Linked DNA regions of Neurospora crassa OR74A. The protein of the gene in region 1 interacts with the protein of each later gene in a pairwise test. Links are inferred from orthologs where the notes say so. Each region holds a gene or a part of one and is shown on either strand. Other genes may lie near its edges.

Region 1 (2,317 bases):
GCCATAGAGTCGCCTCATGCGGTCCTTGGACGTTTAAATCACCGCACGGAACCACAAACTACCACAGACTGGTTTTACGGCAGATAAGATTGGGTATGATACGCACAGCCAAAAAAAAAGCAACCAAGCATGCGTCAAAGAGGGATATGAGAAACACGTGGGAACAGCTACTGCTCCTTTAAACATTAGAGATCTGAAGCATCCGGGAATTGGGGTAGGGGGGGGGGGGGGGGGGGAAATCTACCGAGTGGGCATGGTTACTTCCTTCACACGAAAGGAAAACTTCATAAATTATATAGAGAAGGAAGTGGAACTCGAGGTTTGAAGCTCCCACTTTGGAGACAGAAGGACCCGTCATTGCTTTGCTTCTATCCCTTGAGCACAACGAATTTGTACATAGACGAACGAATGCAGCACATACCTGATGAACACAAGCAGAAAGATACCACGAAATGAGGATGGGAGGCAAAGGGGGGTCATTGAAAGGAACAGACTAAAAGCGCGAGAAAGCACATCTATACTTGAAACCATTATGCAGTTGAGCTACCCTTTAAGTATACTTGATTGATGGTACCTTCCTTTGAACTCCTTCCGATCGATTTGTTTACACTGCCCGCCCGCCCGCCCGAAGTGGTTTCACCCAGTTCACACACATAACATGGCATTACACGGAGCCCTCCACTACCAATGACTACTTAGTTGTACTTGCGAAGCTGTAGTGATATTCCATGTTAGTATACGATCCTCAAATGGTTAGCAACAACAAGAAGGGGGGGGAGAAACTCACGTCCAACGTCAAAGTCTTGGAGCTATTCACGTCCTGATCGCGATAAACGCCCACCAAGCTCTCGCTATCCTGAAACAACCCAGCCTTGAGACTGATGACGATAAATTGCATTCCAGGACCCGCATGCTCGCGGATGTACTTCTTGATCTTCTCCACATTGGCATTATCCAGCGCCGCGTCCACCTCGTCCAGCACGAAAAAGGGCGACGGCTGGTAACTGTGGATCGCAAACAGCAGCGCCAGCGCCGCCATGGTTTTCTCACCGCCCGACAGGTGCTCCATGTCGCGGAACCGCTTGAGCGGCGGCATGGCGTGGTACTTGATGCCCGACAGGTAGGGGGTGTCCGTGTCCTCCTCGATATCCAGGTACGCCTGCCCACCGAGCGGATAGGCGTCTGAGCGTGTGAGGTCCTTGTACACGTGCGTGATCTGCTCCTGAATGTGCGTAAAGGCCTTGTTGAAGAGCTCGAACCGCTTGTCCTTGACCTGGTTGAAGGCATCCCGTGCCGCCTTGAGGGCGGCGCGCGAGTCCTCAAAGTCCTTTTCTGTGGACTCAAGGCGCGACTTGACCGACTCGAGACGCTCGATGGCGCGCATGTTGGGGTTGAGCTTCTCGATCTCGGCGGTGAGGGCCGAGATCTTTTCTTGCAGCTTCTCTTCGACTTCGTCGTTCGGGTCTTGAAGTAGTGCGTCATCGAGGTTGTCGTAATTGATTTCGACACCGTAGTCGTCCATGGCAGCTTCGAGAAGCTCGGCTTCCTGGTCTTCATCCTCGCCATCAACATCCATGGCATCCTGGTCCTTCTGGAGTAACATGTCCTCGTTTGGAATGTCGTCAAGAGAGCCTTGTTGAAGAGGAATTTGGATCTGCTCAAGCTTGCATCTCCTGAGCAGGGCAAGCTTTTGAGCACTACTCTGCTGAACTGTAGCCTCCAGATTGCTGATCTCCTTCAACCTGACTTCTATGTCTCTGCTCCTCCTCTGTAGGTCTTGCTTGGCCTCCTGGACCTTCTTGGTCTTTTCTGCGTGGGAGACCTTGAGCTCTTCTAGACTCTGCTCAAGCTCCTCGAGCGCCTCCCGGTCTTCCGCCAGTTCCTCTTCGATCGATGCTTTCTCTTGTCGATATGTATCGAGATCTCGTTCATGCCGTTGTAGGGTCCGTTCTAGTGAGGCTATCCTGTCGCTGGTCGCCGTGTGCTGTGACATTTCCCATGTGATGTTGCTCTGGATGCGTTGTTTTTGGATATCAAAGTCTTGCCGCTTCTGGGCAGCTTCTTGTTCCAAAGTGCCCTGCTGGGCTTCGTAGGCACGGACGTTCTCGTAGCCCAGTCTCTTGCAGAAATCTTTAAAGATCTTATCCTCGACGTCTGAGATGGCTTTTTCGAACTTCTGTACCGTTGCCCGCGTCCGCTCCAGCTCGCCGTGCTTTTCCTCATACTTGGGCTCGTAGTCGTCCAGCTGCCGCTCCTGATGATCGAGCTCTTTCTGTTTGCTCTTGAGGTTCTTCTCAAAGGCGGCCAGTTCACCTTC
Region 2 (4,069 bases), about 2.0 Mb from region 1:
GAGCACCTTGCGGTTGATGTTTCCAAAGCTACTCTTTTCCTCGAGCCCGGTCACTTCAATCTGTGCGGACGACGTTTTGGCGTCGGGGAACATAATCTTGGCCTCGCTGCCTTCGGATTTGCCGAGTGCAGGACGGACTCTGCACATGACCCGGATATTGCCTTTGAGCTCCTGGTACTTGTTGAACAATATCCGCCTCTCCGTCTCCTCCTTGATGAGCTTCTGTTTGGCGTTCTCCGCGATTTCCAGGGCCTCCCGAAGCCGTGCCTCCATCTGTGCAAACGAATCCGACTGTTGCTTGCTATCAGATTCAAGGAAGTCAATCTGCGCCCGAAGTCCTTGGTTCCGGGCTTCCAGTTTCCCATTTGTTGTCGCCATCTCATTGATCTGTTCCTGCAACGCCCTTTTGTTTTTTTGCTCTTGGCTCAGTTCTGACCGCAGATCGTCCAGTTGAGATTGCAGTTGCCGTAGTTCTCGTTCTTTCTCCAAGAGCGATTTGTTGATATCCTGCTGTTCTGCCCCAAGCTTCAGCCGCAAGTCTTGGACCTCCTTTGCCGCCTTTGCCTTTTCACCCTCCAGATCTGCCCGACATTGCCTCTCAAAAGCGTCCTTTTCCTCGCGGTTGATTCGTTGCAGTCGTTCGCTTTCCTGTTTCAACTTTCTCTGTAATTCTTGGACTTCATGTTCATGCTCTCTTGACTTGTTCTGAAGTTGATATTCATGGTCCATCTTCTGTCTTTCCAGTGTGAGGGTCAGTTGTTGGAACTGTTGTCGCAACGCATCCATCTCCTTCTGCAGCAGTTCGTTTCTCTCGTTCAGTTTTTGTCGTTCCGCCTCAAGTGTGTCCACTAGTAGGTGTCAGTCAGCCTGGCGTGTTTGTATACTTGCTGCCACGTACCTTGATTCTTTGCCATCTGAACGGCCGTTTCCATGGCCTTCTTGTCTTGCAAAGATATGCTGAAAGCCTCCTTCATCACCTTCCATTCCGCATCAACCTCGTTGAGCCGCTCGTCGACGTCAATGCCTGTGAATGCGGTGTTATTAGAATCCTTGGTGAGAAAAGAAAGCTTGACAGGTGAAACGGATTTTCGGGTCGAGGCAGTTCTGTGAGCGGAGACGACGGCAGAGTTGAGAATGACCTCGAAACGCTCCATAGCCGCACGGGGGTCTTCCAATCTTGACTTTGCTTTAGGGGTCTCCGGGTACGCCGTTGTCGACTGTTGGAGAGAGGACTTGCGTCGTGCGGGTACGGCTCCTTCGGTTCTTCGTCTGGGTCTTCTAGCAGGCTCCGCCTTAGCATCCGACTAAGACGCTTGGGAGGCGGGCTGCGAAGTCTTTCGAGGCGTCACTTGACTCCCGCTGGGGATGTTCTCCTTCTCATCACAGATCGACAAGTCCTGCAGGCGCCTGCTCAGACCCGAAACAGCCCTTTCCTTCTCTTGCTCTTTACCCGACGTTGAGTATCGTGGTGAAGGAGATCCCCGTGTCTTCTTAGGCTTGACTTTGGGTCCGGGGACGGGTATAGAAGATAGAAATTCCGTACCATTAGGCGGCTGGGTAGGCGCCGGCTGTGAAGGCGCTACGCTAACGTCTCTCGAAGGTCCATGGCCGCTCATCGATGTTGCTGGTCGTGGCTTGGAAATGGATCGCGATCGATTTGTGGGCTGGTTGAAGCTGGGTTGTCGTAATCCTGTTACAGGTGGTCGGCTTGAAGGACCCAAACTCTTTGTGAAGCTGGATGGGTTTGTCGAGGAGTAAGTTGGCCGATGACCAGTCGCCGAGCTTGCGCGCGGGAGCGCCGTTGCCGTCGTTTTGTTCGCATTTCGGGCCTAGAGAGACATCAAGTCAGAACTGACCTAAGCCATATCGACGCGCATAATTGATCCCACAGTGGCCATCCTTCGAAAGCACCGGGAAACGGTGTGTCACGCGACAGTATGGGATTTGTGTTGTGGAAGGTGGCCGGGCTTGTCGTAAAATCAATTTGAAGATGGCAAACAAGACTCAGAATGTATGGTGCTGATGGGCGGAGGTTGGACCTACATTAGCCAACTGAACGATTGATGCGCCGGATATGGTGCCTGTGAGAAAGGCGCTGGTGGGCGTTGGCGCTGGTAAATGGGACTTTGGCTGGATAGGCTCGCCGGCCCTCTCGGCGAGGGTTTTTCGTTTCGCATCAGGCGGGGCGACTGAAGAACATGGCGTGTTAGCCATCGAGGCCATGGACAATGGCATGGACAAAGCCATGATGTATGTGGTGGGTGTTTGATCTAGCTGGTAAACAAGACGAAGCAGGTGGAGGGGATGTCTTACCACCGCTGTCGTTTGCGGCGCGCTTCGTGGGTATGGACGACATTTGCGCTCGCGCGTTGCTCTGGGAGTCGGAGATCTCTTTGAGGCCGGTGGGAGCAGTCGCGGTGGCCGTGGCGGCGTAGGTGGTTGGAAGTCGCAACTTGGTCGAGGCTGGGTTAAGGGCGTTCTACAATTTTCGATAAGCGGGCTGCCCTGCTTCTCCATCTTATCGCAGTAGGGAAATGATGGAACAATCAAGACACAACGAAGTGTTTTAGACAGCTGTGATACGTACCCTGTTCTCGGAGCTCTCCATGGCGAGCGTGCGCATGCGAGGGATGATGTTGTTCACCAGCACACACGAGCCGAGCAGCAACGCCCCAGATGTCGAGGATAGTGATGGCGCCGTTGTGAAAGTCGTTCAGTACCTAGTCATGCGCCTTCAGCGACGGCGTGCCGGCTCCAGAGCGTCGATTGGCGTACAAGCGGCGGTTGAGTGGGACTTCCACTTGCGAGTTGGGCCCGGTCCTGGCCCTGCATCGCTTTGTTTACTTCACCACGGCAACCATTTCTCCCAGCGCTATGTCCAATCGTTCGACCTCGACCAAGCGGGCGAGCGGGGCCCACAGTGTGCAGGTGCCATCTTAGGCCACGGGACGGTACGTACCTGCTTGTTCCTTGCGCTAGACCATTCTCTGCAGCGCCAAGACATCTGCTCTCCTTTCGGTCTTCATTGTCCCGACCTTGCAATGTTTCTTGCACTAAACAGCCACAACCTTTTATCACAGAATCTTCGACAAGTGTCCGATTCTGTTTCAATACTCTGATTGGTTCTAATCCTGCTTCACATAGGTTATTAGGACGGGAAATGTTACAAGCCGATACTCTCATGTTTCGAAGACAATGGTTTTGGACACCACGATGTCCAGACTCAGGTAAAGCTCGCCTATCTCGCTCATGCATCCATCGCGTACCCCGAAAAACAAAGCACTTTGTAGGCCCATATTCCTTTCTTGGGCCAGCATGCAGTGGTTCTTTACATGTTGGTTCAGCGGGCAAGCCAAACAACGCTTTGGACGTTTTGAGATGTTCCCTCACTGGTCGAGAGTCTTGAACGATGACCATATAATCTCGCCAACATCTGCCTACTTCAGGGCAACGCATCTTAGTACTTCTCCTATTCTACCGTCACTGTGATCTGGTGTGTTATATCAGTCATGAATGCTGGAGTATCCTGTGCGCAGTTAAAAGATGACAGCTCCTACGCGCGATTCAATGTCCAACTACACGTCAGAGAGATTTCTATCCCTGACGAGTGAAACCAAATCATCCTCATTAACCTCATTAACCGTTCTCCCAAACCCCTCATATATACCTCAATCCCTTTTCCTCCATCCCACACCATCTACCTCCTCCTCTTCTCCCAAGCCTTCACAAAGTTCTTCTTGTCCTCCACAGTCAACCCAACTCTCTTCGCCCTACCCAACCTCGCCAACGTCTCCGCCACCTTATCCAAAAGCCTCTGCTCCTCGGCCGTCAACTCTCCATCCCCTCCCTCTTGCCTTTCGCGGACATCCACCCCCGAGCTCTCCCCATGTGAAACACCATTGCTAGCCCCTACGGTATTAACCAGCCCCTCGCCAATGCGAATCCTGATACAGTGCGTCGGCCTAGCCAGCAACTTCCACAGAAAGCTCAACCACACCTTCACTCCCCCAGGAACCGGGGTGGTGTCGTCAACGGGGGTATACCGCAAGCTGAGCGGGAAGATCTGCGT

What was found.
Region 2: the proteins of NCU01323 (region 1) and NCU04581 interact in binary tests that used the Saccharomyces cerevisiae proteins (3 or more experiments, as listed by UniProt). The link is inferred for Neurospora crassa OR74A from reciprocal best matches to the Saccharomyces cerevisiae genes SMC1 and KAR3.

The regions. Positions count from the first base shown.
Region 1 is NC_026505.1:3,656,662-3,658,978, forward strand, and holds the end of NCU01323 (cohesin complex subunit), read right to left. Parts: coding exon 788-2,317; intron 714-787; coding exon 696-713; 3' UTR 501-695; downstream 1-500. UniProt on the Saccharomyces cerevisiae protein: Involved in chromosome cohesion during cell cycle and in DNA repair. Central component of cohesin complex. The cohesin complex is required for the cohesion of sister chromatids after DNA replication.
Region 2 is NC_026505.1:1,612,523-1,616,591, forward strand, and holds the start of NCU04581 (kinesin), read right to left. Parts: upstream 2,801-4,069; 5' UTR 2,624-2,800; coding exon 2,588-2,623; intron 2,480-2,587; coding exon 2,314-2,479; intron 2,190-2,313; coding exon 2,044-2,189; intron 1,830-2,043; coding exon 1,544-1,829; intron 1,025-1,543; coding exon 899-1,024; intron 849-898; coding exon 1-848. Other genes in the region: NCU04580 (vacuolar protein sorting protein Vps66), read right to left, coding at 3,698-4,069. UniProt on the Saccharomyces cerevisiae protein: Minus end-directed microtubule (MT) motor involved in spindle midzone assembly, poleward transport of newly captured kinetochores along the lateral side of MTs, karyogamy (nuclear fusion) during mating, and with an essential function in meiosis I.